Elephas maximus indicus: one gene and its partners. The protein of the gene in region 1 purifies or fractionates together with the protein of each later gene. This does not show direct contact. Links are inferred from orthologs where the notes say so. Each region holds a gene or a part of one and is shown in the gene's direction. Other genes may lie near its edges.

Region 1 (6,724 bases):
ATGTCTAATGGTGATGAATTTGCTCCCTTTTTGTGGCTAAAAATGTCTTTATTTCACCTTCATCTTTTCAGTATGTTTTCTCTGGGTGTAGAATCGTAAATTGGCAGCTATTTTTACTCCATACTTGGAAGAAATCACGCCATTTTATTTCGACTTCCGGCTTCCGCATATGAGACGATTGAAAATATCATGGCTTGGGTCGGGCACACCTTAGTCCTCAAAGTGACATCTTTGATTTTTGCAAAGCAAAGAATCTGTTACTAAAACCTGACAAAATTGTATATTATTTATATGTGTGTATATATATATATATATATATATATATATATATATATATATATATATATATATATATATATAAAAACATGGAAACCCTGGTGGCGTAGCAGTTAGGTACTATGGCTGCTAACGAAGAGGCTGACAGTTTGAATCTGCCAGGTGCTCCTTGGAAACTCTATGGGGCAGTTCTACCCAGTCCTATAGGGTTCCTATGAGTCAGAATCGACTCCACAGCAGTGGGTTTGGTTTTGTTCAATATATATAATATATATATGATGAAGTCACAGAAAATATCCCACATGAACAGAATAGCAAAAATGCTATCAACAAATCAAATTCAGCACTATATATTAAAAAAATGTGTTCTCATTGCGTATTTACAGATGAGGGCCAGAGATGTTCAGTGATTTCTGCAAGGCCATGCAGCTGGTAGGTGACCCTACCTCTACCTGATTCAAAACCCACACTCTTCCCAATGCAATGGCATCCTAGGTGGTGAGGGCTGGCTTTGCAGTGGAAGGAGTTGTGATGAGGCTCCTGGGCGGGGAACAGCCAGCCTGGGTCCCTTGTGCAGGTTCCAGGCTTGATTGGGACAAGGTGCAAATGCAGAGTGTCCCAGGGGCCTGGTCTAGGGTCCTCTGCCCCGACTTCCGGCTTCCATAGCCCCGACCTGCCTCCAAGTTGCTACAATGAGCTCTCCCTCCACCGACTTACTTCCCCAAGTCCCCCCCCACCCCCCTCCTTGTTGCCAGGCCATTTTGCTGGTGGCAGGCCAATGGGTGCAACTGTTGCCTCTGGAGGCGGCCAGCGTTGCCAGGCAGACCCTTACCATGCAGGTCCCGGTGCCATGACAACACGGACGTCTCCTTACGTGCTCTCCTGCTGCGCCCCCCGCACTGAGACACGAAGTCGGCCTGCCTCCGCTCCCCGGGGGCTTCTGGGAAAGCCGGGAAGGCCACGTGGCCTTGGCGAAGAGGATGCCGGGAGGCACGCGGCTGAGGCGCGTTTCCGGATCTTTCTGAGGGGGTTCTGGAGGGGTCCGCGGCCGGAGGCGCCGTTTCCCCAGGGTCGTGGGAGCGCACGCAGAGTGGTAGGAGGTGAGCGCAGAGGGCCTTCTCTGTGGAGGAGCCGGGAATGACCGAGCCCTGGGTCAGGTTAGGGCGTCGCCGGGCGGGGCCTGAGGGGACTGGCGGCCGGAGTCTGGGTAGAGCACGAGGCGGCGTGGGGGACCGGCAGGCTCGAGGGCTGGCTGAGAGGGATCCCCGGTGATGAGGGCCCGAATAGGGTGCTGTCGGAGAAGGGAGAGAGGGGTCCCGGCCGCAGGGCTGCAGATGGGGGGGAGGACTCCCGGCCCGGAGGGTTGGGGGCACGGAAGGGGCAGTCCAGGTTGTCGGGCGGAGTAGGGCGTGGAGGGGACTCGCGTGGTCTGGCGCTGAGGGTGAGGGGAGGGACGGCCTCCTGGCTACAGGGAGGGGTAGGGCGGGGGCCCCGGGGGCTGAGGGGGGGAACTGGAGGCTGCGGCGGGGTGCGGCGTGGTGACCCCCGGTTGTGGGCGTCTGGGTGGGGCTTGGGAACGGGTCTCCTAGCCCACCAATGGCGTTCCTCTTCCAAATACGTGTGCCCTCATTTCCGGCTCAGGGATGTTGGGAGGTGAGGTTTTAGGTCTGAGGCGGCTGGTTTCAGGTCAGCAAATGGAGGGGTCCCAGGCTCTGCTAGGCTGCAAAATGAGGACCTGAAGGAATACTGAGAGAACCCCAGCCCTGGAACAGAGAGTACCCCAGTCTCGTCAGACCCCTGCTGTCAGCCCTGGGAGATCCCGAGCAAGGCTGTCAGGCAGAGGTGTGGTCTCCCACTACTTTCTTCTCAGGGGTCTCAGGAAGATGTCAGGAGTAAAATATTTTGCGGTTATTGAAGATGCCCCCTACCCTACATAAAGGCCCCCTCAGTGGCTCAGCCCCTGCTGACAGCCCTGGGAGACCCGCTGCGGGGGGGGGTGGTGTTTCCTGACTTCCGGCTTGGGAGTCCGAGAGCCGAGGCTGGTCTGAGGGGTTTCAGCCTTGGATCCAGGCCTGGTCAAGCCTCCACGTGAGGATGAGAGAACCCGGAATCTCAGAATATAGAGCCCCCCCCCCGAGGGACGTGCCCCTTCTGTTAGTCCTAGAAGACCCAGGAATATTTCAAGGACTGGGGCTTCCACTCAGTTTTGCCAGTACCTGAGGGGCGGCGCATTGTCTGAAAGCGGTCTCAAGCACCAGAGGGGAGGGATCCCGGCCCTGCCAGAAGTAAAGGGAAGGACTGAGGGGACCCCGGGCCTCAGAACAGAGGGGTCCCAGAGAAATACACCTCTGCTGTCCGCTCTGGGAAACCCCAGCTACCCCTTAATTCGGCCCCGGGGTCTGAGGTAGGCGGGACGTGGTCTTAGCGGGTTATCTCAGATCATAGGAGAAGAAGGGGCTTTAGATCATGAGAGGGGAGGGGTCCAGGCCCTGGCAGGAGTCAAGTGTAGGACTGGGGGAACCCCGGGTCTCAGAACAGAGGGGCCCCAGAGAACCTGCCCCTGCCATCAGCCCTGGGAAACCCCAGCTACTCCTCGATTCGGCCCCGGGATCTGAGGGAGGCGGGACGTGGTCTTAGTGGGTTATCTCAGATCATAGGAGGAGAAGAGGCTTCAGATTATCAGAAGGGAGGGGTCTAGGCCCTGCCAGGAGTCAAGTGGAGGTCCCTGAGACAGGAATAAGGGGACCCGATGCCTCAGAACTCTCTGGAACCCCATAGAATCCGCTCTTTTCTGTCAGCCCTGGGAAACCCTGGACAAGAGTGGCTGAACGTGATGGGCCCTTATTTCACCTCGGGCGTCTCAGGGAGGTGGGACCTCGATCTGAGGCAGGACGCTTCAGGTCGTCTAAAGGGGGGACCCAGGACCTGCCAGGTGTCAAGGTGAGGACCCTCAGGGAGGGCTGAGGGGAATTCTCCACACTCACAGAAACTGGCCCAGCCCCCACTGTCAGACCTGGAGACCCAGGACATGGCTGTAAGGCTGAACCAACTCCCACATTTCTGCTGAGGAAGATAAAGGTCTTGAACTGAGGGGGCTGGGCTCAGGTCAGCAGAGGAGTCCTGGGCCCTGCCAGGTGTAAGGTGAGGACTCTGAAGGAAGACTAAGGTGACTCTGGACACCATAACGCTGCTACCCCCACCCCTCGCCCATGCTCTCAACCCTGGGAGATGGAGAGGGGGACAGGGGTGGCCTGCTGTGGTGTTTTCTTACTTCCGCCAGAAGGAGCTCTCAGGGAGGCTTGGTGTGAAGGTTAGCAGAGAGAGGAGTCCCGGGACCTGTTAGAATCCTGTTAGGACCCTGAGGATGAATTGAGAGCTCCTCCCACCCTATACAAAGGGGACCCCACAGAATCCCACCCCTGCTGTCAGCCCTGGGAGACCCCAGTTAGAGGTGGCTTCATGTGGAGCCTTCTCATTTCTGCTTTGGTGACGTCAGGGAGGGCAGAATCTTGGACTGAGAGGTGGGAAGTCAAGTCAGTGAAGGGAGAAGTCCCAGGCCCTGCCAGGAGTCAAGGCGGGGACCCTGAGAGAAGACTTAAGGGACCTTAGACTGCAGAACAGAGGAAACCCTGCAGAATGCCCGCCATAATCTTGCTGTTCATCATGGGAGGACCTAGTCAGTGGTGGTTAGATGTGGCCCCACTCACTTCTTTGGAGTGAGGGGGATGAGGGAGAGAGGTCTCAAGGAGATGAGGCTTTGGTCTGAGGAGGTCCACATACAGATGTGCAAGCACTTACACGAGTAAAGATGAATGTCCTGAGAGAGGATTTGAGGATATCCTCATCTTAGAAGTAATGGGCACCAGCTTTGCCCTGCTCCTTCTTTCAGCCCTGAGAGGCCTTGAGTAGGTGTGGTTAGTGGGGACCCCTTCTCCTCCTCATAGACCTCAGGGATGTGATTTCTTGTTCTGAGAGTCTTCTCTCAGATCAGCAGAGGGATGAGGACCCTGAGTGAGCACTGAGGAGACCGCCAACCCTGGAAAATGGGGACTTCCCAGAGTCCACTCCACCCCTCCCGTGAGTGCTGGGAGACCCAAGACTGAACTTGCAGTCAGCATCCTCAGGTGCCCCTCAATTCCTCTTTCAGGGACACAAGGAACCAGGAGTTGAGGGCCTTGGTCTGAGGCACGTGTCCTCAGGTCAGCAGAGCGGAGAAAGCCCAGGCACTGCCAGGAGGCAAGGTGAGAACACTGAATGTGTACCAAGGTCCCACTCACCCAAGAAGAGAGGGAACCCCACAGCCCCTGACCCCACCCACCCCACTGTCAGCCCTGGAAGCCCTGGCTACACCCTGAGGAGCCGTGTCGTTTTCTCCTTCAGGGCCTTAGGGGACAGATAGACAGGAGACGTGTGAGGCCTTAGAGAAAACTTGTAAGTTGGCCTTTGTTGGAGCCATGAAGGTTGAGTTTCATAGCTAAGGCCACTCATACTCTCCCTGCCTTTCCCACAGGCCTTTAGGCTCCCATCACCCACCCTCTTCCTTTAGGGTCCTAAGGGACAGGGTGACAGGAGACCTGTGAGGCCCTAGAGAAGACCTGTAAGTTGGTCTTTGTCAGAGTCGCCAAGGTTGAGTTTTTCAGCTGAGGTCCCTAACACTCTGCCACTGTCTCCTGCAGGCCTGTGGGCTCTCACAGCCCACCCTCCTATCTGCACTCCCCGACAAGAGTCACCATGCCTCGCCCATCAAAGCGTCGGCGTTACATGTTTGAGCAAGACCTTCAGCCCCAAGGTGGGACGCAGGGCCCAGAGGGAGGGCAGTTTCTTGTGGCTGAGGAGGAGGAGGCCTCCTCCTCCTCCACCTGCTCTTCCTCTTTCCCCTTGTCCTCTTCCTCCTCCTCCTGTCCCCTGAACCTAAGCACCCCAGAGGAGGTTTCTGCTACTGGAACACCCAGTCCTTCCCAGAGTCCCCAGGCATCCTGCTCCCCCTCTGCTGCCGTTGCAGCCAGTCTGTCCAGCAACTCTGCTGAGGGCTCCAGCAGCCCAGGGGAGGGTCCAAGCACTTCACAGGCCCAGCCAGATGCTGAGGCCTTGCTCAGAGAAGCAATAGATGATAAGGTGGCAGATTTGGTACAGTTCCTGCTCCTTAAATATCAGACGAAGGAGCTCACCACGAAGGCAGAAATGCTGACCACAGTCATCAAAGAGTACCAGGACCACTTCCCTGTGATCTTCAGGGAAGCCTCGGAGTGCATGCAGCTGGTCTTTGGCATTGACATGAAGGAAGTGGATCCCACCAGCCACTCTTATGTCCTCGTCAACACACTGGGCCTCACATATGATGGGATGCTGAGTGGTGATCAGGGTGTGCCCAAGACTGGCATTCTGATACTTATTCTGAGCATAATCTTCCTGGAAGGCAACTGTGCCCCTGAGGAGAAGATCTGGGAAGCTCTGAGTGTGATGGGCGTGTATGTTGGGAGGGAGCACTTCATCTACGGGGAGCCCCAAAAGCTCATCACCGATGACTGGGTGCAGGAGAAGTACCTGGAGTACCGGCAGGTGCCCGACAGCAGTCCTGCCCGCTATGAATTCCTGTGGGGTCCAAGGGCCCACGCAGAAACCAGCAAGATGAAAGTCCTCGAGTTTTTGGCCAAGGTCAATGGCAGTGACCCCAGATCTTTCCCGTTTTGGTATGAGGAGGCTTTGAGAGATGCGGAGGAGAGAGCCCAGGCCAGTGTTGCTGCCACGGATGCCACTACTGCCATGGCCAGTGAAAGTGCCGGGGCCATGTCTGGCAGCTTCTCCTGCCCCAAGTAAAGTTTCAGGCCATCCATTACTCTGTGTTTGAAGAGGGTGGTCACAGTTCTAAGTAGTGGAGGGCAGGGGCGTAACATCTTTGTGTTCCTGTTTTGTAAGGGTGACTTGTAGCCTTATTTCTTTTTCTTGTTGGTGTTTTTCAAATGCTGTTCTCTTGAATAGATAAGGTTTAATTAGTTTCAGAATCTAAGTTTATCGGTGGCATCGATCACACATTTATTGCTTTTTTTGTGTTTCAAGAGTAAGAATTTTGTTATTTTGTAAAACAAATTGGGAAACCTTATATCTCATTCAGTGATTTGAACCAAGATAACATGGCATTGGAACAGGAATTTCTTTGGAAATGTGAAGTAACTCAGCAGTAAAATAGAAAAAAGATTTTCGGATGCCTTTATTCTTTTTAGTCTGTTATTGTGTAACATTAAAATATATGTATCTGGATTTGCTTGGCTGATTCATGAATGTAGGAGAAATTAAACTTTAATAAATGGAAGCCCCTGCTCACTGGCTCATTTTTTTCCCCCAAACGTGAATTGAGCATCTGCTGTTTGGGAGACACAGTGTTGCGGGGGGACAGGGAGAGGTCCTCATAGGATGGTAGTGTCCAGGAGCAGCAGTCATACAGGAGGAG
Region 2 (8,383 bases), on another chromosome or scaffold:
AGGGTTGCTATGAGTTGGATATCATCAATATCACACATAAGTAAAATTTTGCTGAGGATAATTCAAAAATGTTTGTAGCAGTACATCAACAAGTAACTGGCAGAAATTCAAGCCAGATTCAGAGGAGCACGTGGAACTCGGGATATCATTGCTGATGTCAGATGGATCTTGGCTGAAAGCAGAGAATACCAAAAAGATGTTTACCTGTATTTTGTTGACTATGCAAAGGCATTTGACTGTGTGGATCATAACAGATTATGGATAACATTTCAAAGAATGAGAATTCCAGAACGCTTAATTTTATGTTCCTGAGGAACCTGTACATAGACCATGAGGCAGTTGTTTGAGCAGAACAAGGGGATACCGTGGTTTAAAATCAGGAAAAGTGTGCATCAGAGTTGTATCCTTTCACTGTACTGATTCAATCTGTATGCTGAGCAGATAATCTGAGAAGAAGGACGGGCATCAGGATTGGAGAAAGACTCATTAACAACCTGTGATATGCAGATGACAACCTTGTTTGCTGAAAGTGAAGCACAAAGACTATAGATGTGGCAGCCTGCATCCAAAATCTATATTAGTATAGATCACACCTTAACATAAAGAAAATCCTCACAACTGTAGCAATAAGCAACATCATGATAAATGGAGAAAAGATTGAAGTTGTCAAGGATTCCATTTTACTTGAATCCACAATCAACACTCATGGAAGCAGCAGTCAAGAAATCAAATGATGCTTTACATTGGGCAAATTTGCTCCCAAAGACCTCTTTAGTGTTAAAAAGATGTCACTTTGTGGACCAAGGTGTGCCTGATCCAAGCCATAGTGTTTTCAATTGCCTCATGTGCATATGAAAGCTGGACAGTGAATAAGGAAGAGGGAAGGACAATAGATACCTTCGATTATGGTGTTGGCAAAGAATACTGACTATGCCACGTACTGCCAGAAGAATGAACAAATCTGACTTGGAAGCTGTACAGCCAGAAAGCTCCTTGGAAGCAAGGATGGCAAGACTTCATCTTGGACATGTTATCAGGAGGGACCAGTCCCTGGAGAAGGTTGTCATGTTTTGTAAAGTAGAGCATCAGCGAAAAAGAGGAAGATCATCAACCAGATGGACTGATACAGTGGCTGCAACAATGGGCTCAAGCATAACAACGATTGTGAGGATGGCACAGGATCCGACAGTGTTTTGTTCTGTTGTACGTAGGGTCACTATGAGTCAAAACCGACTTGATGGTACCTAACAATAACTTTAGTATGAATCAACTCCAGAGTAATGGGCTTGGTGCATATATATCACATTTTGTTTATCCATTCATTTCTTGATGAACGCTCGAGTTGTTTCTACCTTGCGGCTATTGTGAGTAATGCTGCAATGAACACTGGTGTACATTATGTAAATCACCATTAACTCCTAGACAATAAAATCAGAAGAGAGTGTAAATGGGGAGACTGGGTAGGAGGAAAGACTCCTTCCTAAGACTTACTTCGATTCATCTTGCAACCAAACCGCCTTTAGTTTAATCTATTTTCGAACCCTATCCTTGAATTTTGGGACTGAGCTACAAATAGGTTTTTTTTCCTAGTTGAAAGAACATGTAATGACTAAATGGAAGTTCTGAATGGGTATTTTAAAAGTAGTAGGAACCCCTAATGGTGCAGTTGTTAAGAGCTCAGCTGCCAATCAAAAGGTTGGCAGTTCGAATGCACCAGCTGCTGCTTGGAAACCCTATGGGGCAGTTCTACTCTGTCCTATAGGGTCACTATGAATTGAAATTGATGGCAATGGCTTTGATTTTTTTAGGTTTTGTATGTGTATTTATTCACTCGATAAACTTCTATTTAGAGCCTAAAACAGTGCCAGGCATAGTACTAGGAGGAGCACTGGTGGTGCAGTGGTTAAAGTGATTGGCTGCTAACCCAAAGGTCTGCAGTTCAAACCCATCAACTGCTCAGCAGGAGAAAGATGTGGCATTCTGCTTCTGTAAAGATTGTTGTTGCGCAGTCAAGTGGGTTCTGACTCATAGTGACCCTATGCACAACAGAAGGAAACAATGCCTGGTCCTGCACCATCCTCACAATCATTGTTATGCTTGAACACATTGTTGCAGCCACTGTGCCAATCTATCCTTAAAGATTTCTGCCTTGGAAACCCTATGGGCAGCTCTACTCTGCTCTATAGGGTCGCTATGAGTTGGAATCTACAGCAACGGGTTTATAGTACTAGGTGCTGGTGATGCACGGATGAATTAAACACAACCCCTACCTGTAAGGAACTCATAATATATGAGGAAGAGAAGCAGATACACAACTAATTGTAATGTAACATGATAATGCTAAATATAATAAAGATCAGAATAAAGCACCATGGGGTAGTTGAAAGGGAAACAAGTGGTTTTGCCTGGGGGAGTTGGGGAAATGTCAAGAAAGACATTTTGATTCGGATCTTAAAGGATGAGTAGGAGTTCCATAGGCAAAGAATGGAATGGAAATTTTTATTTAAAGCAAAACTCGTTGCCATCGAGTCGATTCTGACTCACAGCGATCCTGTGGGATGGAGTGCTGCGCCACAGAGTTTCCAAAGAACACCTGGTGATTTCGAACTGCCAACTTTTTGGTTAGCAGTCATAGCTCTTAACCACCATGCCACCAGGGTTTCCTTATTTAGAACAAGAACAACAAAATTCATTCTAGATTTTTGACACTGCCTATTTCAGACTTAAAGCAACTTGAGTATAATTTGAGAGACCAGGACAAGGCTGCAGAGTTGGGAGTATATTTTCAGTAGGGAAGAAGACATTCTTCAAATAGAATCATCAATTTTACCAAATTGTAAAAATATTTAATGTTGCTATTTTTTTTTTTTATTTGTAGACATGTTATATACATGTGGAAATATAATTGTGTTGACTTTGGGTAAACTAAGGAAATTTCACTGAACAGGCAAAGGAACAACACATACAGTGACAGTAGTATTTAAAAATACTAAAATTTTCCCTTAATATCTTTTCTCTGATTTATGTGACATAAACAAACTACATAATGGTGTGAGAGACTATAAAGATTTTATTGCCACTTGTTTGGTATTGCCAGCATAACTCACTCTGAGAGTACCAGTTGTGGGCATCTCAAACTAAGTGCCATAAAACATTTATAGCATGCCACTCCATTTCCTACACTTTCCATAGAGACAAAACTTTAGTGCTCACAAAAGTACTCATAAATGTAATAGTAATGAAAACGTTTTTGTTTTATTTAGATTATAGATTTCAAGTCTGCAAGAAGAAAATAAATGTTGTAAGGATGATTTATGTTACTTCTATGCAGGATCTCAGATTATCAAATTCCTTCTCCAAGGAAAGCCACTTTTCAAAGGTAACCTCAGTAAATGCATACGGGAATTAGCATAAAATTGGCAAGGTCACTTGTATCTACATGTTGAATTCATTTGCAAATAACAACTACTCACTTCCTTGCTTCTTCACTCCAGGACCAGGCTCCAAGCATCACAGGTGCAGAAAGATTTACAAAAAGGAATGAATGGAAACAAAAGGATGTAGGCTCCAGGAGGAAAACAATCTCAGGAAAGATTAAGCCAAACTCGGAAGGAATAGCAGATCCAGTATCAGTTAAATGGGTATTAACCAAGTTTAAACTGCTTTTAAAAATCGGTGACCAGAGATAGTGTATCAAGTTTATTAGGCCTTCTATTATGTCTGTCTGGTTTGCTTAAACTTTTGTTAGGCTTATCTTGAGGGTGAGATTTCTGTGCTGAGCATATATTAGGTGTTAAACTAATATTGATTTTTTTTTTAAAGGGAGGAGATCTTTAAAGTAAATATAAATTTTACTGTTATTTTTAACTTTTTAATTTATGACTTAAGGGCCAAACTTGACAAGTTCTATGATTCCGAGTGCCTCTATTCATTAATTATTAAAAGAAACACAACCTTGATATACAATAGAAGAATCTCAAATAATCGTTAAATTACCACACACCAAACAGCTTGGAGGTCAGAGAGGAAATGTTTGGGTAGAGGGTCCTGCTTAACTTCCAAGTCTTTAAACAAAAAGCCCTCACACCAAGTGTGCATGGCAAGTTTAAATTTATTGTAATTAAAGCCATCCAGATGGTGGTTGGATTAATCAATGAAGAGACAGTATTTATCTTGGGATAGAAGATTCCGAAATCCAGAAAGAGAAAATCCCCAAGGTGGGGGTGGGGAACAGTTAATAAGAGCCCCTGGGAAAGGCCCTTTCAACGAGGACTGGAAAATAATACGTTTGAATTTAAATCTCTTTGAATATAAACTACCCCTAACAGCAGGAAAAGGGTCCTCTATAGCCCAGCAAGCTTTGGGCAGGAAGGGAGTAAGCGGAACTGTAAAAGAGCCTGCTCAGCTGTTTCTGGTTTGGGGCTAAGCGCTGAGAAAAATCGCAATGTGGGAACTGAGTATTTGAGTCATTCAAGATAACTGGAAGGGTCAAATAACGAACTCCTTCCAAAGCGTTGACAAGGCACCCCCTCTGCAGCACCCTACCCTGAGTTTCCGCTCGATTTTCCCTCCCCGCGCGGGGCGAGCCCCAGGCGCTGCCCCCTCCCACGCAGGGCGCGGCGATTGCTGACAGCTCCCCTCCGAGCTGCCCAGAGCGGGAAGTCCGCGACCCGTGAACTACGGCCTCGCCAGCCGGGCAAGCGAGCGTCCTTCCTCGTCGCCAGTGCCGGCAGGGCCGGGAGGCCTCGCGCCTCCGCCGTGCCGGCTGCTTCTCAGGAATAAACCCGCCGGGCCGCGGCCTCACCGGCCGCCCGTCTGGCCCGCGAGCCGGGAGCGCGGGGCGCCGAGGGGAGGCGGGGCGAGGCCGTGGGGCGGAGGGGGGCGGGAGGTGCATCCTGGGAAATCCACCAACATGGGGCGAAGCGGCCGCCGCCGCCGCGGGCGCCGCCGCGAGTCCCGGCTGCGGGCGCCCCCACTTCCCTGACGCCCGGCTGGGGCCTCGCCGCCTGCCCCGGCCCCGGAGTCCCCGGCACAGACGCCCCAGCGCGCCGTCCGCTCGCCCGCCCGCCAGCCCGCCCGCCCGCCGGGGCCATGTGAGGGGGCAGCTCCCTCCGCCGCCGCCGCCTCCTCCTCCCCCCGCCCCCTCCCCCCCCGCCCGTCCCCCTCACACAGGGCCCGAGAGGAGCCCCCAGTGCCGCCCGCCCTCCCGACGCAGCCCCTACGATGGACAGGAACTACGCGACCTCGGGCTTCGCCGACCCACCGCCGCCGCCCGCGGCCCCCGCCGCAGCCAGCGCTGCCGCACAGCCCCCCGCCCCCGCCTGGGCCTACGAACCGGGGGCCGCCGCCGCCGCGGCCAGCAGCAGCAGCAGCTGCAGCAGCGGCAGCAGCCCCAGCCTCAAGGCCAGGTAGGGAGGGTGGGCAGCGGGGTCGCGGTGGGCCAGGAAAGGCCGGGGATGCGTTTGGGGCCTTCGCGCCGGTGCAGCGCCGCCCAGGGGTCCGGGCCGGGCGGAGAGCCTCCGCTCGCCTCGCCCCTCGCCGGGAGAGGCGGCTGATGACTCCTCTGGGGTGGTCCCGGGCTGGATGGGGGAGCCCAGTGCAGGATTCGCGCCTGGGGCTGGTCGGGGAGCGCGGGTGGAGGGAGGGCTGGGCGGGAGCTGTGGGGCTCCGTCACCCTCTGGGGTCCTGGGCTCTCACATGGTGAAGTTTGGGCTCGTGGCTGAACTCGGCGATCGGGGAGACCCGGGACTGGCTTCAGGGAATCGAGGGGGGCGCCCGGGAGTTCCGGGCAGTGATATTCCATTGTATTGGAACCTGAGTGGCCGACAATGTGGTCTTGGGGCCCCCGGCGGTGTGAGAGTGGGGGAGACGGGGAGAGGAGGCGCCTCCAAGCCCAGTCGAGCCCAACTGTGTCCCTGACAGTGGGAGACCCGGGAGGAATGAGCTGCGGGAGAAACCCCGGGGCTAGGCGGGGCGCGAACGCTGTGCCGGGGCTGGGTGACATATGTTTGCTGTGGTGGCCAAGAGAACGAGATTTCTTTTCCACGCGTTCAAAGTTACTCTTGGGTCGTCCCCCCCCGCCCCTTTTAACAACAGCAGGAAGTAAGGAACCTCTCTTTTCCTTCTGTGTCTCGAGGTGACCAAGAGTTGGGAAGGTTTTGGGGGGAGGGTCAAGGAAGGCCATAAAGGTTGAAGAACCAAAGCATGCTTCTGCATCTCCGTTTCTGAAGCCCGGGTTCATTATGTAGCGCGGAGTTCAAGAGTTCATCTTTTCTCCAGCATGACCAAGGAAATCTAGAATGTTGGCTCTTACTAAATATTTAAGGTCGTGAAATATGTGTAGAAGTACCACACTGTGAAACGGTCCCATTTGAATGATAACTGGAAGGCGTGGTCTGGTTTGGAGGATTTGGGAGCGGGGTGTTTTAAAGCCACCTCTTCCGAACAATACTGAATCTGGTAGGTGCAGCTTCTGATTACAAGGACCGGGGAATCCTGGGTTGCTAATGACTTCATCCTCAGTTACCAACAGGAAGCTTTGTGGCTTTATGATCTCATCCGATTTCTTCATTATTTTCAGAAAAGTGAACTTTTTTTTTTATTTTATATATTATAGTGTTTTAGGTGACTGCTTGTTTTTAATTAAAGTTTCTGTGTTCATGATTTGGAAAATATGTAGCTGGCCTTTGTCTTAGTTTGTACCTTGGAATGACTGTGAATGAGAATGAGAACAATTTGGTTCAATAAAAAGGAAAATGTAGCTTTCGTAGAAAATTTTAGGGCCTTTGTTTAAAAGAACTGGGTTAAAAAAAAAAAAGTGATATGCCATTTTGGAGCTAAATTGATCGCTGAAACCCTTCAGAAACAGCCATTATTTGGTATTATATAGAACTAAAACATTTTAAGGAGTTTTATGAAAGCTACTTGGCCCTTTAGTTATTTCCTTTTGGTAGTAATTTGACTATCATTTTTCAAGGAGCTTTTGCATTGAATATGATAATTTACAAATTAAAATTACTCTTCAGTGAATATCAATGATAGGTATTTGTGCAGCATTTTTTATATTTTAGATGTAAAATGTTTTATTAGGTAAATGAAACAAATGCAACCTAGTTATTTCTGTTATTTCTTTTAGCAGAGTACTTCTGAGGCAAGAAACTAAAATCTACTTGTCATATTTTCCAAATGTTATTTATCAAAGTAACACAGAATGACTTCCCAAACACATTTGAAAACAGTAAGTAGATTCATTTGGAACACATAATCTAAAAAAAGATTGATTTTTTTGTTTATTGGAAGTAATTGATACTTAAATGCTAACCCCCTCCAACTCCTTTATAAAAAAAAATATTTTTTGGGGTGGGGTCAGCTGAATTGCAGTGTAGGAAATGCAGGCTTTTCCTCCTCTCCCCACCAACCTGCTTTGTTAACATCTTGTGTTAGGATCAGGCCATCTGTACAGGGCTGCACACATTTCTTAATTGTACCTCATTTTATTCCTCAAACTGCAAATGTCCTCTTTGATTTCAGTTATATAAAAAATACAGAATCTGAAATATGTCCTGCAAATTTTTAAATATTCTGCATTTTCAGAAGCTTCTTCATATTTGTATAACATTTATAAAAGCTTTTTCATAATTAATGTAGCAGTTGAATGTTTTTGTTCCCCTTTGTGGCAGTTTCTTCTGAAGGTGCAAATGAGTACTAGTTGTGATGATGTAATACAGATACTTATCCATAAAGAATTAGCTTGTCTGTCACCTTGTTTCTAATAACCTCTTCAGAAGCTGACAGATGGTAATGACATGCAGTTGTTACTGACATGGGATCTAACAACCTACCTTATGTCTTTGATCCTGAAATGAAACATTTTCATCAGTTGGTGGGGAGAGAGCGTGGTAAACAATTCTTCATGAGTTTTGAAGCAATACTCTGGGATAAAACGGCTCCATCAGATATCAGGTGTTTCTGTTGTTTTAGCAGTTGAAAAATAATGAGCCAATGGGAAAACCCAGCATTTTATCTTAAATAGTGTTTGCTAGGTACATGAAAAGTTCAGGTATAAACATTGCTTATATAAATGTCCGTTTATTTGTGCTTGTCTGAGATTTAGGTACCAAAAGAACATATCCTTTGTCTATCACCATGCAGTTGGAAATAATTTTTGTGGGGTTGTTTTAGATCCTGTAAATACCCTTGCAGCTTTTGGAAGTAAAACGATGGTCAGGAAGCATTAAACTGCAGACTTACTGCCCTTTTTTCTACCTGATATTTATATCTTTTGCAGAACAGGAAGAGACAGGCTGTTTCATTATAGTGATGGATGTCGTGTTTGCATTTGAATACACCCGAGAGAGTGAATGGAAATACTTTGTTTTTAGAT
Region 3 (7,812 bases), on another chromosome or scaffold:
TTTCACAGCTGGGAGCATGTTGCTCTGTATTATAATAACTTACTTTTACCAGCCCCTTATTGATGGACTCCTAGGTTGCTTGTAATAACAGCAGACTAGAGACAGTGCTGTGGTCACCATCCACATACCTGTGCTTTTGTCCAAATGTGTGAGTGTGTTTGTAGAATAACTTTCGAGAAATATTCCTGCCTAGTAATTTCAAGATCAGGAAGGCAGAATGGACCTAGAAAAACCTCGAAGACATCTGGTGATGTGTGTGAGCTGAGAAGTGCTAAACTAACAGGAGATCGGGATGTGGGACAGATGTCTCAGGAGACCCAGAGCAGGAAAGCCTTAAGCCTGATAGCCCTGCATTGGTCCAGCTTGTCTGTATTGTATCTAAGGCACTGTGATCAGGGATAATTTTTATCCTGGGCTCCATCCACTGCCAACTGTCGACATTTCCCTCCCACCCCCTCTCACCTCCATCTGAATCAGGAAGCACAAGCCTATGCAGATGACAACAGTTTGCTGTTCATGGAAACATCAGCAAAGACTGCAATGAATGTGAATGAAATTTTCATGGCAATAGGTAAGTTGCCTTTCATCAAGGGCACGTCACTTGGTTGCTGTTCTGTAGTAGGTCACCGGGGGTCCCTTCACTATTCTGATAAAATAGTCTTCTTCAGCTAATTCCCCGATGTAGATCGTTCGCCCCAGAATTTTCTAAAGCCTGGGCCAGCGTTTCAGCATTTTACTCCTTCACACTTTAGCTTGCTGCCCATTTCAAAGACTGTCATCACCATCCCCCTACCCACTTCTTAAGATTTTTTTTAGTGCCTAGGCTCTGGAGTCATCCCGCTGGGTTCAAATCCTACCTCTGTGGCCTTGGGCAAGTTATTTAACCCCTCTTTGCCTCAGTTCCCTGAAACACTCAGAACATGCCTGGCACGTAAAAGCCTTCGGTATGTGGTTTATCACTGATCGAATGGTGAAGGCCAGATTCTACTCGAGTAGGATTAGGAGAGAGTATTGGGTATCCCCCTCAAATGCATTTTTTTCTCCTCCTGTCTCAAACAGCTAAGAAGCTTCCCAAGAATGAGCCCCAGAATGCTGCTGGTGCTCCAGGCCGGAACCGAGGCGTGGACCTTCAGGAGAACAACCCAGCCAGCCGGAGCCAGTGCTGCAGCAACTGAGCCCCCCTTGCCTGCCCACTGCCCCCACCTCCTCCGCCTGTACGACCCGACTGGAATCCACTCTAACCAATCGCACTTAACGACTGGGCCACCGCTGGGGGGGCAGGGGGAGGGCTCCACCATGATTTCTCCATATGATTTTGGTCATAGGCCGGAGTGAGCTATTCCACCTGCACCTTTCTGTACAAATACTAATTCAATTTTAAGTCTTAAGTCACTTTTTTAATATATATGATCTTCTGCTCTTCCCACTTCCTTCCCTTCCTACAGCTCCCCCACTTTTCCTTTGCTGGTAGTAGCCACATGCTCCTGTGCCCCCCACCCTTGTATATGGGGGCAGGGGGCTGGAGCAGTTACCCTTCCTTTCCTTCTTGCTGAATAGCAGACTCAGCAAGAGCATCCACACCCTTTCCTTGTTTGGAGCGGGCTTCGTCTGAGGTGGCCGGCAAGGCCCTGGAGGCTAGGGAATGAGAGCAAGCTCTTCCTGCAGCAGGCTGTCATCAGGCTGCACCCCCCGCCCCCCCAGCTGGGAGAGAACCCACAACATTACTACAGTTACTTATCACACGTTATTGTGACAGCCACGAACCCATTGCCCACCCCCACCCCCTTGGTCACCCTGACCTCTGGCTCTGAGCCCTGTTCTGACCAAATCACGATGAGTATTTGGGGGTGGGTGGGTAAGGGGGGGAGTGGGGGGGATGGAACCAACTTTTTCTGTATTTTGTATTGTATGTTTTCTTCAACATGTAACCAATCAGTATCTTGTCAATATAGTCAGCCGATCGATCGACCTCGCTCTTGTCTTGTCTTTCTCTGGCAGAGTTTATCAGACCATGCCCTCTCCAGTTTTCTTGATGTTAATTTAAAACGAACCACTAATCTTGTGAAAAGCCTTTTTTTCCCTAATGTGAGGGGATGCTGGTGGTCATGGTAACCAAGAGAAAGAGGCCCTTACTGTTAGCAGCTCTTAGCGGGTAGGGATAGGGCCAGACTGACCTGGGGCTGAGTCTCACCGAGTTTAAATTGAGGGTCCTGCCTTGGCCTCCCCGTCCAGCATAGATGGTGGTGCTGTGCAGTCTATATTTGAAGATTGTTGGCTTCTGAAACACCAGAAGTGGCCCCTTTGGGGTTTTTGGTTGTCTGTGTCAGGCCTGTATGGGACTCTCACCCTCTTCCCTGAGGAGGGACATCGATGACCTCTACAACTTCCAGCCGGTCATAAGGCCAAGGCTGCCACACCTGGCTTTCCTCACCACCTGACTTCCTCACCACCTGTGTCCCCACAGCACCACCCCCCAAACACCAGGGCCAGGCCATCCTGTCCCAGTCTCTCAGGGCCCTCTGTTCTTTCTGGAGCCAGGTGAAGCTTGGGCACTCTGGCCCTCTGCTGCTCCCTGCCGGAGCCAGAGCTCAGACTGCCACAGGCTGGGGGCTATCGCCCTAGCAGTGAAATGAGCTGAGTAGGGCAACACTGCCCTCCAGCTTCCAGGGCTACAAAGGCCTTGATTCTTGGCGGATCCCCACCTTGAGGTGTCTCCCTCCACCTGCAGCTTCCCTATCTCTGACCTCAACCCCCAGAAAAGACCACGGACACCAAGGCTGCTGCACACCGAGGTTGTTTACTGGCTCAGGCTAGGTTGGAACCGTTAGAGCTGAGGCCCCTGAGTCTGGGAGACGGCCCTATACGGGCTTCCGGGAGAGGCGGCGCCCAGCACTGGCTTCGGACACACAGCTGGCCAGAGGGGGTCAGGCAGCAGGTCATGGCGGAAGGATCTAGGTCGGGCGGTAGTTGCACTTCCCGGTGCACCTTCCGCGTCATGCAGAAGCTGCCCCCGTCTGGGCCACAGCTCTCCAGGTGCTGCTGGCCGGTCACCATCAGGCGCCCGCTATCGACCCGCACGTCCAGCTCCTCCGGGGTGAAGCCGTGGGCATCCACCTTCAGTTGGAAACCGCCCTCTGCGTGGTCCTCCTGCGCAGCTGCCAGATGGTCCCTGAGTAGCTGCACCGGTAGCCTGGCCACTTGGTTCTGTTCAGCGAGGGCCACGCTGGGACGGCGGAACGCCGCCACCTGCTTCTCGTTGGAGAGGCCGCTCCCAACCCGCTGCATCGGTGTGAGCAACTGCTGTCCAAGCGCGTGCGCCCCGAGCGCAGGGCTCGCTCAGAACTGGGCAGAGGCGCGAGGGCGCCTACGAGGTGCAGCTCCGGAGAAAAGGACTCTCCTGCACTAAGCGTGGTTGGCTCCCCTCTGCTCTGTTCAGTTCAGCTCGGTCCCCTTCACTTCCGCAAAGCGGCTGCGCTCGGGTGAGATTCACTTTGGTAGAGTTCGGGGCCAGGTATGCTCATCCTACCCCCAAGGGTCAGGTTGTCAGCTGCCTTGGCGCTTCAGCTCCTGTTTTCACTCGGGATCCTGCCCCTTTCTAGGGCCCTTCCCCACCTCTGTCAGGGGGCCAGGGAAGGCCAGAGGCTGTGACTGAACTGGACCTGCCTGAACTGCGGGAGCCCCAACCTGGAGCCTCAGAAGCGCAGACCCAGGAACAGACCGAACCTCCGGGCTGCGGGGAGGCTGTCTTGATCTTCCAGGAATCAGGCCTGGGGACAAGAACTGCCCCCAGTGGAGTATGGCCTTTCCGGGTCATCCATTCTCTAGATGTCCTGCCTTTCCCTGACCATGCACAATGGCTTCTCTCCCACACCCGTGAAGATTGGTAGGTGGATGAGTCTTTCCGGCCTTTTATTCCTCCAGTGCTGGGCCTGCCAGGTGGCACAAGGGCTGAGCCCTAGAACCACAAAGATGAAGACATGGGCCCTGCCGTCAGGAACTCACAGTCTGGAGGAGAGTTTCCCGCAGAGTCGGTCCAGTGCCAGGGAAAGGCGGCCGTCCTCCTCTGCGGCCACTTCGTCCCCACCCCAGTAGCCTTCTTTGTAACCACAGCCATGCCTCTGGGACTCAGCATTTTAAAAATAAACTCTTAATGAAATATACACAAAAGTGCAAAAAAAAGTGAACACTCTCACGTAACCATTACACAGCTAATAAAAGGGTTACTAAATTTTAATCTCTTCTGGAGCGGCCATTCTGTCCCCGGGAAGACGTTTGGGGCAGGGCCTTTGCCGAGGGTGGGGTGTAGGGGAGAGAGGTGTGCGGTGAAGTCAATGCGACCTTCGGGCTCTGAAGGTAGACAGAGCCCACGATTCTGTTTTCTCGAACGCTCCTCCTTGTCCCTAAGAGAACAACAGTCTTGACTATCGCGGAAGGCTCCAAGAGGGATGAGAAGTGAAGAAGGATGAATCTGGGCCGATCTCTCGTGCTTTACTTGGCTGCCTGGGTCCGGGGTCCAGGACAGAAAAGTCTGGAAGCTGGAGGCAGAGGGGAGCGGCGATGGAAGACTACAATTCCCATCATGCGCCAGTGCAGCAACGCCTGCGCACTGAGCGCCGTTTGCCCATGCGGCCCTAGGGCTGGGAGCGCCGCGCCGCTCTCCTCTGTGGGGGAGGCCATGGCGGAACCTTCCCAGGCCCCGACCCCGGCCCCGGCCGCACAGCCCCGTCCCCTTCAATCCCCAGTCCCTGCCCCAATTCCGGCTCCTGCCCCCGGCCCTGCTTCAGCCCCGGCTCCAGCTCCCACTCCGGCACCAGCACCCGCCCCAGCTGCAGCCCCAGCCGGGAGCACAGGGACTGGGGGACCCGGGGTAGGAAGTGGGGGGACCGGGAGCGGGGGGGATCCGGCTCGACCTGGCCTGAGCCAGCAGCAGCGCGCCAGCCAGAGGAAAGCGCAAGTTCGGGGGCTGCCGCGCGCCAAGAAGCTCGAGAAGCTAGGGGTCTTCTCGGCTTGCAAGGTGGGGGCGGGGCCTGTGTTGAAAGGGGCGGGGCCTGGGGCATCCAAGGGTTTGGGTGGGAATGGTGGCAAGCTTTGGCAGGGGAGAGGCTCCTTGCCCCTGGGTATGGGGTCATTCACTGATCCTTCTGCCTTCAGGCCAATGAAACTTGCAAGTGTAATGGCTGGAAAAACCCCAAGCCCCCCACTGCACCCCGCATGGACCTGCAGCAGCCAGCCGCCAACCTGAGCGAGCTGTGCCGCAGCTGTGAGCATCCCTTGGGTAAGGCATGCAGTGCCCTCGGACGTTGGGGAGGGGGCTTGCTGGCCCCTGCTTGGACAGGGTGAGTTAAGTGCCACAAAGCTTCATCTCTGAAAAACCAAAGATGCCTTCTCAGGAGGGCTTAGGTTGGGCATGTATATGCCTCAAAACAGGAGAAAGGAAATGGGGCTGCCCAAGGGCCTGTGTAGAAGCAGCCAGTCTCCTTGGCTGGTCACTCTGGTTTGAGGGGCTGAGGATGTATCTTGGCTGGCTACGAACAGGGGAAGGAGGCCCCTGTAGATTTTTTCTACCCAACCTTCCCAACTCTACCACCTGTTCCCTTGCAGCTGATCACGTGTCCCACTTGGAGAACGTGTCTGAGGATGAGATTAACCGGCTGCTGGGGATGGTGGTAGACGTGGAGAATCTGTTCATGTCTGTTCACAAGGAGGAAGACACAGACACCAAGCAGGTGTATTTCTACCTCTTCAAGGTGAGCTTTCAACGAATGAGGGAGGGTTTATGAAGGAGGTGAGGCATGGGGCATTTGCAGCTCAGAGCTCTGCACACTGGTACTCTGCCCCTTTCTCTTACCTCCAGCTCCTGCGGAAATGCATCCTGCAGATGACCCGGCCCGTGGTGGAGGGGTCCTTGGGCAGCCCCCCATTTGAGAAGCCTAATATTGAGCAGGTGGGATGGGGAATGTGGTAAGACAAGAACTGGGGACACCTTGGAGAAGTGGGGAGCCTATGTTCTTCATCCTCCTCAAGTTGAGTATGGGAGAGAGGTTCAGAGAAGGAAGAATGTTTTGTGGGTAGGGGGACATAGTTTATCTTTGCACAGAGCCCCATAGTGAGAGGAGAGCTTTGTCTCTGCCCTCAGGGAACACCTGCTTTTGGGTAAGAAGCCCCTGCTGGCTGCTCATGCCTCAAGCCCTGTTTTGTCTCCTCCTCCTCCCGCTCCTTCTCAGGGTGTGCTGAACTTCGTGCAGTATAAGTTCAGCCACCTGGCTCCCCGGGAGCGGCAGACGATGTTCGAGCTCTCAAAGATGTTTCTTCTCTGCCTTAACTACTGGAAGCTTGAGACACCTGCCCAATTCCGGCAGAGGTCCCAGGCTGAGGATGTGGCCACCTACAAGGTCAATTACACCAGGTAGGCCTGGCCAGGGGTAGCATGTGGAGAGGCGTGTAGGCCCAGCCTGGGCTTAGTGCTTTCTGCCCTCACCTGCCACTTCCCCCACCTGCACAGATGGCTCTGTTACTGCCACGTACCTCAGAGCTGTGATAGTCTACCCCGCTACGAGACCACTCATGTCTTTGGGCGAAGCCTGCTCCGTTCCATCTTCACCGTTACCCGCCGGCAGCTGCTGGAGAAGTTCCGAGTGGAGAAGGACAAGCTGGTGCCTGAGAAGAGGACCCTTATCCTCACCCATTTCCCCAAGTAAGGTTCATTCTGGCCTCTCAGGACCTTTTCTCAAGTTCACTTTGCTGTTGTCCCCTTTTTTCTGGGATGCCTTCCTGGAGTGATCCCTTCTCCCCCTCCATGAGTCTTCTGGGATCTGGGTGCCCCAGCCCAGACCCAACCTGCTGATATTTGCCTTGTATATGCTAGTCTGGGGATGGCGGGGATGTGGCATGAGTGCTAACGCTACCCCTCTCATGGCGGTAGAAGACATTACTAGTTGTTTCTGCAAGGCCTGGACACAGCCTTAGACTAATCCTTCCCCCAGCAGCACTCCCAGAAACCAGAGTTTCCACCTGAAGTGAGATTGATTTCCATCCCTTCTTAGTTTTTTCTGTAATATCTTCCTCTGCTCAGCCTTGTTTTCTTCCCATTTAAGTCTGGCTCCTAACTCTCTTGTTCAAGAAGCTTTTTTTGACTAATCCTGGCTCCCCAGAGCTCCTCCTACCACCAGGTGGGAAGAAGTGGCAGGAAGGGGTGGACTCTGAGCCCCACTTTGACACTGAGGGGACTGAGTCTCAAGGTAACTCAGTGTGCTGCTTGGCATACACACAGGTGGCATCTGTGCAGGCCCTGTCTCCCTGTGTTCTTTTCCCTGTGCTGCCCATCGTGGCAGGAAGTGGGCCTCTTGGATCTCTGCCTTAGAAGTGTTTTATTCTCTTACTTCAGATGGGGGCTCCCAGAAGGCAGAGGGCTGCTCCTTTCCCTTCAGACTAGGGCTTCACAGAAGGTACAGGGTGTCTCCTCTCTCAGGCTCTCAATTCCCTGAGAGCATCTCTGTTTCTTTCCCCTGCCTCCTGCCCCTTTGGGTGCCTGACCCAGGGCTCCACCCTTGGTTGGAGGGATAGGATTGTGGGACCGACCTTGCACCCTTCCCTAGATTCCTGTCCATGCTGGAGGAGGAGATCTATGGGGCAAACTCTCCGATCTGGGAGTCCGGCTTCACCATGCCACCCTCAGAGGGAACACAGTTGGTGCCCCGCCCAGGTTTGTGCTCCCTGGCTCTCTGCTTGCCTTATTGGCTGAGCCAAACACCTCTGGGAGGAGAGGGCCGGGAATGACAGCAGTGGGGAATGCAGGAGGGCCATAGTGTATCC
Region 4 (8,580 bases), on another chromosome or scaffold:
CTTCACTTCCCTCAAATAACCGTCCTCGCCTGCTCCAACCCGTGATAGATAAGATACGTAGCCAATCAGCAAGCAACCTTGGGCCCAGCCTACTCTAAGCCCAACCAATTAAAATGAAGATGGGGGATTAAGGCGGGGAATGGAAAACTTGCCCCCTGTTTTGGAGATATTTTGGAGAGGTACGTCCCGACCCCAGGAGCTTTCAACCAGAAAGCTCGCATATTGTATATCTCCTGAGCCCCAGTTCTATCCCACTTCGGCCCCACCCCAAGATGGGCCCCTACGCCTTACACTTCCTCCGTCCTCCCCCCTCCCGCCCCCTCGCTCCAGGGTTTCAGTAGAACAACAGCCACATTACTGAGGTCTTCCGGGAAGGAACCAAGTCCCACTGTCCCGCGCTTCACACGCTCCTCCCGGTGCCGGTAGGGTACGGGAAGGAGAGACCCTGCAGCCTCTGGCGCCAGTCTTTCCATTCAGCGCGTCTCTCCTCCCTTCCCCACGTTCCCGGGTCGGGGCTGACACGGGAGTGGGAGGAGCCGAATGCATTCTGCGTTTGGGGAGAGGCTAGAACTTGTTAAGGTGGAACAGAACAGTTGAGTGGGCCTCGAAACAACTGGAATGTCAAATCCTCCTGCCTCCCAACCTCGTTCCCCATACAGTTTCTCATCTCTAGTCCCCTAGCCTTAGTTCACTTCCTTATTTTTTTAGGACGAATACACATGTTAGGTAAAGGAAATAAAATTATGTAAGAAACAGTTTTTACAGATTATGCAGAGTACTCCTTTATGATTTAGTCTCTTATCTCCCGAGATAACCTTTTAACGTAGCAGCTAGAACTTTTCTGACGTGTCAGTGCGAGCTCAAATTGTGTTTGATAATATGCCTCAATGAATCATTTGTGTGTTGATTTAGTCTTTCCCCTACTAGATCTGACTACACCCATTAAAGGAAGCAAGGAGAACCCTATGTCTAGTGGCTGTGGGTTACTTCCTATTCCTTTTACCACTGGTCCCCTGACAAGCTGGAAGAGTGAAGGTGGTATATTGCACGGCCTTGCAGGGTTGACTCTGATTCAGTTTTCTCGTTTGTAAATGGGGATAATAATACTACCTCATGGGTTTAGTTTGAATACTAAAAGATATAGTGCAAGTGAAAGAAGCTTGTAATCTGAAAGCTGTAATTAACATAAGAACATAATGCATACAAAGCCTATAATCGTAAACACATAGTCCATACTATTTTCTAGACACCTTTTTTTACTGTATTTTTAAAAAACTTTATTTTACAAAATTTCAAATACATACAAAAGTAGTATTTTAAAACCCCATGCTGTAACATCAACACCTGGCCAATCTTTTTTCATCTACACTCCCTACCTAACCCCATAGGTGATTATTTTGAAGCAAAATTTCAGGCATTTCATCCCTACTTAAATATGCATCTCTAAAAGACAAAGATTTAAACATACACACACACACACACAGACACACACACGCAATACCATTAACACGCTTAAAACATAACAATAAATCCTTAATCACCAAATCATCAATGTGTTGAAATTTCACCAATTGTCTTGTAATATTCTTTCCAGTTGCTTTGTTCAAATCAGGATCCCCAAAAGGTTCATATATATTGCATTTGGTTGATATGTCTATTAAGCTTCTTTTGATTTCTAGGTTCCTCCTCTCTCAGGCACCTATTTAAGTGCATTACATGTATAAAGCCATATAACCCCTCCACAACACTGTGAAATAGGTACTATTATTACTGATGAGGAAACTGAGACACAGAGCAGTTAAGTAACTTATCCAAGGTTCCAAGTTATTGAGTGCTAAACCTGGGATTTGAATCCATGTAGGCTGTTCTTCTATCCACTATGTTTCATAAATGCTATGAAAATGTGTATTGTAGCATACTGTTGTTGCTAGGTGCCGTGGAGTTGGTTCCAACTAATAGCGACCCTATGTACAACAGTGTGAAATGTTGCCTGGTCTCCCGCGGATACTATGAAGAAGAGTTTTACTTAAGGTAGACTAATACTATGAAGAATTTTATGTTCCATTACAGAGAGGGTAGATTCTTATATTTTGATTCATGGCATGTTTTAATGTCAGTATTTTTATCCTGCTCCATATCACCATCCTTAATAGAAAGTAAAGGGAGAATGAATGCAAGTGCTCCCCTCTGTCTTAGGGCAAAACCAAACCACACAATGCTTATCAATTATTTCTAATTTTAAAAAGTATATAAGTAAAACCCATATGAACACTGATTATAGAGTGGACAATGAAATAAATAAAATCATCTTTAATCTCACATATTTGGTGCAATCCATCAATATATGTGTGCGTATATGTACATATATACATACATATACACATACAAGTATATATGCACATATGTATATATTTGAAAAAGCAGCTATATATTATACAAGCTGTTTTTTAATATTATTTTCTCACTTGAATATATTCACATATATGATAAAAATTGACTCTTTAAAATAATGCCTGGCTATTGCAAAATATCTAAACGGTAGGGAGCATCTATAAAAAGAAAAACAACTTCCCATTAATTCTACCTTCCAGAGTTAAATAGAATTACTCTTTTAAAAGCTAATAATATTATATAGCTGTATCATAATTGATTTCACAGTTACCTTATTATGGATATTTAGGTTGTTTCTAATTTTCTAGCTACAATTAATGCTGTAGCAAATATCTTGTATGTATCAAATAAATTCTTGAGCTTTTTATTTTTCCAGATCTCCAGGAAAGGATTTTAATTCATTCCTAGATTTCCCATCATACATAATAAATGCCAAAAAGAGTTGAACAATGAAACAACAAAGTATCCAACACACAGCAAGAAACACTTGCTGCCAAATCATTTTTCTGTAACAGCACATGGGAGAGTGAATGAATGCCTCAAAGAGAGGGAAAAATACAGCTTTAAATCTGGAACGATACTGGGAGGGTCATGAGGAAGAAAAGGCTCAGCTAGGCTTCACTGCTTTTGAGGATGACTTGCCTTTACCGGCCCAGCTCCAGTCAATGGCATAGAGGTTAAGAGCTGGGCCTTTGGAGCCATTCGAATTTAAGTTCTGGCTCTGCTACTCACTAATTACGTGAACTTGGACATGGTTATAGTCATAGTTTTTTCACCTGTAAATTAGGTATAATTATGTGAAAGCTGGACAATGAATAAGGAAGACTGAAGAAGAATTGATGTATTCAAATTATGGTGTTGGTGAAGAATACTGAATATACCATGGACAGCCAGAAGAAGGAACAAATTTGTTTTGGAAGAAGTATGGCCAGATTACTCCTTAGAAGCAAGGATGGCAAGACTTTGTTTCACATACTTTGGACATGTTATCAGGAGGGACCAGACCCTGGAGAAGGACAGTGAAAAAGAGGAAGGCCCTCAATGGGATGGACAGACAGTGGCAGCAACAATGGGCTGAAACAAAGCAACGATTGTGAGGATGGCTCAGGATGGATGGGGCAGTGTTTCATTCTGTTGTACACAGGGTCCCTATGAGTTGGAACCAACTCAACTGCACCTAATAACACAACATTGTATTGCTAGGAGCCCTGGTGGTGCAGTGTTTCAGTACTTGGCTGCTAACTGAAAGGTTGGTGGTTTGAACCCACCAGTCACTCTGGGGAATAAAGATGTGGCAGTTTGGCTTCTGTAAAGATGGACAGCCTTAGAAACCCTATGGGGCAGTTCTACTCTGTCCTATAGGGTCACTATGAGTTGGAATTGACTAGATGCAACAGGTTTTTTTTGGGGGGGGGGATGATGATATTGCAACAAAAGTTAAATGTGATAATGCATGCAAATTGCTTAGGTTTTTTTATGTCTGGTGCATTGTAAATATATGATTATAATATATGCATATAGCAAATAAAATGTAGTATTATATACTTAGCCAGAAGACCAAAGATTTTACTGTCTAAAGGTAAAATGCAGTCATTCAGCTGTAATCTTGAATATGCAGTCTTTCTTTGAATAAGGACGATATTTTTGCCTTCATATTATTTTATTGATAGAAAGTAAAGTGGTTGAGATAAGTTTAGTAGGCAGAGGATGGAATATATAAGGATTTGCATTGGAATAAAAGGACTCCAGGAGGAAAAGTGGAAGTGGGCCATTAGTTTTGTTTCTGGGTGAGGATTTTTCTGTAAAGACATGCCTGGAGCAGAGAGATGTGCGATGAGAACATTCTATACTCTGTGATACTCAGGATGAGGTTTGTTAAAAGCCTGTCAAGTGAACTGAACAACAGTCATATTTTGTTTCCTTTGTATACTGTACAGTTTAAAAACGATTTTCACATAAAATATCTCATTTGATACTTGCAACAGACTTAGTGGGTAGGCAGGACGAGTATCAAGGTCCCCTCTTTGCTAATCAAGATTTTAGACAACAAATGATCTTCCCAAGTTTACAAAGCTGAAACAAGGGGTAGGACTCAGATCTTCTGATGTTAGAGCCAACTTTTCTTCTATTACACACTCATTTATCCCTTTATGCTTTCATCATTCAACAAGCCTTTACCGAACTCTGGGATGCTAACAGGGTAACATTAATTTTGCGCCAGCCCCCATAACTCTGTGTGTGTTTGTGGGGGGGGGGAACAGAAGTCCATCAAAAACATTACTGAGGAGCTTCTAGGGATGTTCATCTGTATACAGAATACGACAGAACAACAACAAAAAGATCAAAGTACCAGAGTTACGGGGTATCTAAATTGGAATCAGTGACAGTTCAGAGCGCGCTGTGCACGCCTGGTGGAGACCAGTGGGTTGTCATTCCGGGTAGACGGCAAGCTGCACCAAGCAAAGAGGCTGTATGGTGGCGGAAGGTGAGCGAGGGGCGAAGCGCGCCCCGCTGGGCTGCAGGTTGCGGGCTGCGCTGCAGGTTGCGGGCTGCGCTGCAGGTTGTGGGCTGCGCAGCGGCGTCTTTCCCGGGAGCGTGAGTGCGGCCGCGCGGCTGTCCTGGCGGAGCGCGAACCCGGCGGCGCGGCCCGCGTCTCGGCACCGCCCGGTTCCTCCTTAACCCGCGCCGGGAGGCGGTGGCGGCGGCGGCCGGGCGGGCGGGGGAGGGGGAGGGGCACGGAGTGCGGCGCGGAGGCCGGGGAGGAGCCGGGGCCTGCAGCGGAGCCGAGCCGAGCCCGAGCCGAGCCCTGGCACGGTCCGTCCGCCTTCTGGCTCCCTGGGAGCCCCGACTGGCCAGAGCCCGAGAGGTGGCAGCGCGGGGAGCCCCACGCGCCGAAGGGAGCGGACCCGACGGGACGGGACTGGAAGAGGCGCTGCCGCCACAGTAGCCAGTACCGGGAGCCGGGAGCCCGGGCCTCCCGGACCCTACTGCCCAGGCCAGCTCAGGGAGAGCGGGGAGTACGAAAACCCCACCCTCTGGGACACCCCAGGAGCGGAGGTGGGAGCGGGGACGGGAGCATCCCCCTCCCCCTGTTGGAGAGAAGACCCCTACCACTGGGCGGGAGAAAGAAGAGACCCCTATATGGGACGCGTCTCTCCTTCCTAGAAGCGAGGAAAATCCCCATACTGGCCCAAGAGGAGAGCCCTAAAAGTAGAAACGGGTGATCCTTCTTAAAGGAAGCAGAGTGAGACCATCCCAGCGTGCCTTCACCCCTACAAACACACACTCTCAGCAGTTCAGGAGTTTTGAGGCAAAGAGAAAGAGGGAAATGCCTATGGAGTAGGCACCTTCCATCCTATCCAGTACTCACAGAGGAAAGGAGTCTTAACATTCAGAAGCAGAGGACACTCCAGGGAAAGAAGAAGAATCGGTTTCCAGCCATTCAGGAGAAGGGAAGGCCTCCCCCGTCATCCTCCTTGTACCTAGACAGTGGAACAGGGCAGAGCCCCTCCGTTCAGATCTCCAGCAGACAGAAATTGCCCTCCACCCGCGAAAGATCCAGTTTGGGGGGGAGGGGGACTCCCCCAAGGGGGAGGAGACAACTCCTGGTTGGGAGAGGCTCCTCCCCTCCTCCCCAGTGTAACAGGGAAGGTGTGGGGGGTGTGCCACCTTCCCCAGGTAGGGCCTCCTTCTCCTCCTCCTCCTCCCCCTCCTCCTCCTGCCTCCGCTTCTCATCCTTTGGGGACCCAGTTTCCCCCCCCAGCTTGGGAGGCTCAGCCAAGTACAGGAAGAGCCACTGAGGATGAGACTCATCATCTGCCTCTGAAGAGGGGAACCCCTCCAACCCCAAACTCCAGTACCAAGTGGTTCCCTCCCTTTGCTGGGGGGACCTTGGAGACAGGTTAGTGCTTTCTTCCATCTTCTCTCTGTCATCTTTAGGCACTAGTGGGTGTAGGAGGCTGAAGTGATGGCTCTTGGGTTTCATTGCTGGGAAAGGTGGAGTGATAACTCATACCATCCTCTGGGAACTGTGTTTTGAGGAAGCTTCTGAATTAGAACTCACATCTTGCTGCAGAGACTCTGAGAAATGGGTTTCTTAGTGTTTGAGGACTAAGGGGATGGGATTCATTTGAGGTCCCTAGGGAAGTGGATGTTTCCATGCTGAGGGCAGAGATGTCAGAAAATGCCTGCATTTTCAGAACTTCTTGCATATCGTGTATAATGATTGTCACATCCCTACCAGACTCCCACACACCCCTCCATCCTTGGCCTTTTCACTCTGAGAGTGGTCCTCACTAAACTCATGGCGGCATCTTGTGTCTTGGCCTTGTCAAGGGCCCCTGTTGGATTTCCTTCTCTCTCAGCTTAACGTTCACCAGAACTGTTCTTTCCAACCCATGGTGATTGGGTTGACAAGAAGGGCAGTGTGGCCCCACTCACCTTTTCTCAGACACCAAGAGGTCTCCTGTTATGACATTCCCATTTCTGGCTGGGTGCATGCCTCTACTCATAAAATCCAAAAGGAAGATGGACATCCTGCAGGTCCCGAGGTGAGAAGACTAAAAGGGTATAGGGGATGTCAGATCCAGGTTGAAGTTCTTCCCTGATGCTGGCCTTGCATCACTGCCCAAGTGCCTCACAGGTCTTCTGCCCTGGATAGAAAGAGGAGAATATTACACCAGCTTCATTCCAGGCTTCCATCTAAATAAGCTGACCACTAAGGAGATTTGGAGATTTAACCTCTAAGGAGCCTTTTGTATTAGAGATTCCTTGGAGAAAATCACCTAATAGTCTCATTTTCTTGTTCAATTTTGAGTCCCTGGAACCTTGTATTTAACTTTTCTCTAGTAAGATAGGAGTAGGAATCATCACAGTCCAGAATTTGCTGAAAAAGTAGGAGAAAGGTGCTAGGAAATTCCTCTAGCTGAGCCCAGGCTATGTTTTTAGCAGGGCTTTGAACCGGTTCCTTCCAGTTTGAACCCCTGCTGAGAATTTGCACTTCTAACAAGTCCCCAGGTGATGCTAACGCTGCCAGTTAGGGACCAATTCTGAGAACCACTAGTAGAGCAGTGGTTCTCAAAATTTATTATATATAGGAATCAACTGGGGATCTTGTTAAACTGTAGATTCTGGTTCAGTATATCTGGGGTGGAAATGCAAACTCTCAGCAGGGGTTCAAAGCTCTGGTTTTTAGTAGAGCCCTGCCTTTCGATTTTGGGTCACTAGCTGGGTGCTTACCTTCTTGCCTTGCCATTAGAAAATATGTTATCTTCTGCAGGGAGAGTTATATCCCGCAGTAAGGCCAAGTGGAAGGTTTCACCTTACTTGAGCTTTTATGTTTCTTCCTTCTCTGTCTGGACGGTGGATAGGCTGACGAAGCCCCTAAGTACAGCCATTTGGTCCTGGAATCTACCTGTTAGTAGTGGTATATGAGGCACGGTTATAAAGTGTAGGTTCTTTGGCTGTGGTATAGAACAGTGTGCGTTATGCTTCTCAATTCATGTGTCTGTGGCTCTCTGTCTCCGTGTTTGGAGGGGGTGTGTGTGCAGAGACAGGTATATCTGTGCTTTTCGGACTAAGCCTCCAATTAGAGGCCTAATGTATGTTTTCATTAGGCCTCTAGAAGCAGGTGACCCTGTGCAAGGACCTGGAGAAGATGCCAGGAAGAGTGTCCAGCTTGGGAAAAGGCTTAGCCTTCCCTTGGTCAGTGGGAGTGCTCATGAATGGCAGCTCGACATGCATCCTAAGCAGCAGGACAGTGCAGCCTCAGGCGGGGACCACCTTCGAGAGCTAATGAGAGAGCTTTATTTCTGATGCCTGTCATCTCAAAAGGCTCTTCACTCCAGGACCTCCTCCCCTGCCTTTTTTAAAGAGCCAGACTTGGTGTAACAGCGGCCTGTTCCTTAAAAACTACTTTACCAGATGCTGGAATGCAATTTCTTGAATGGCTTAGGGTGAACTGCATCACCACACCTCCAAGTATAGCACCACCATGCACTTTAACGGGCCCTGCTTAGACTGTTTCCTCACCTCTCTGCCTCTATGGAATCAGAAGCAGGTGGCTATTGGGTTAACAGTGACTTAGAGAGTGCTATTTTTCAGACCATGTCTTATGACTAAACCTAGTTCCCTCTGAAAGATAAGAGGTGATATTCTCCCATTTCTTCATCCTTGAAGTTTTTCTGGTCT

The links.
Region 2: the proteins of melanoma-associated antigen 10-like (region 1) and QSER1 purify together in Homo sapiens (affinity purification with mass spectrometry; 3 studies listed by BioGRID and IntAct, counting the BioPlex papers as one, with this or other methods). This does not show direct contact. The link is inferred for Elephas maximus indicus from reciprocal best matches to the Homo sapiens genes MAGEA10 and QSER1.
Region 3: the proteins of melanoma-associated antigen 10-like (region 1) and KAT2A purify together in Homo sapiens (affinity purification with mass spectrometry; 3 studies listed by BioGRID and IntAct, counting the BioPlex papers as one, with this or other methods). This does not show direct contact. The link is inferred for Elephas maximus indicus from reciprocal best matches to the Homo sapiens genes MAGEA10 and KAT2A.
Region 4: the proteins of melanoma-associated antigen 10-like (region 1) and FOXJ2 purify together in Homo sapiens (affinity purification with mass spectrometry; 3 studies listed by BioGRID and IntAct, counting the BioPlex papers as one, with this or other methods). This does not show direct contact. The link is inferred for Elephas maximus indicus from reciprocal best matches to the Homo sapiens genes MAGEA10 and FOXJ2.

What each region holds. Positions count from the first base shown.
Region 1 is NC_064846.1:4,211,277-4,218,000, forward strand, and holds melanoma-associated antigen 10-like, read left to right. Parts: upstream 1-5,007; coding exon 5,008-6,093; downstream 6,094-6,724. UniProt on the Homo sapiens protein: Not known, though may play a role in embryonal development and tumor transformation or aspects of tumor progression.
Region 2 is NC_064825.1:88,066,300-88,074,682, forward strand, and holds the start of QSER1 (glutamine and serine-rich protein 1), read left to right. Parts: upstream 1-5,163; 5' UTR 5,164-5,223; coding exon 5,224-5,408; intron 5,409-5,422; exon of another isoform or gene 5,423-7,237; intron 7,238-7,246; exon of another isoform or gene 7,247-8,383. UniProt on the Homo sapiens protein: Plays an essential role in the protection and maintenance of transcriptional and developmental programs.
Region 3 is NC_064837.1:49,073,466-49,081,277, reverse strand, and holds the start of KAT2A (histone acetyltransferase KAT2A), read left to right. Parts: upstream 1-4,628; 5' UTR 4,629-4,675; coding exon 4,676-5,014; intron 5,015-5,151; coding exon 5,152-5,275; intron 5,276-5,601; coding exon 5,602-5,747; intron 5,748-5,854; coding exon 5,855-5,944; intron 5,945-6,224; coding exon 6,225-6,406; intron 6,407-6,502; coding exon 6,503-6,694; intron 6,695-7,595; coding exon 7,596-7,702; intron 7,703-7,812. Other genes in the region: RAB5C (ras-related protein Rab-5C), read left to right, coding at 478-571, 1,060-1,175; HSPB9 (heat shock protein beta-9), read right to left, coding at 2,806-3,285. UniProt on the Homo sapiens protein: Protein lysine acyltransferase that can act as a acetyltransferase, glutaryltransferase, succinyltransferase or malonyltransferase, depending on the context.
Region 4 is NC_064822.1:65,288,711-65,297,290, reverse strand, and holds the start of FOXJ2 (forkhead box protein J2), read left to right. Parts: upstream 1-5,143; 5' UTR 5,144-6,292; intron 6,293-6,298; exon of another isoform or gene 6,299-8,580.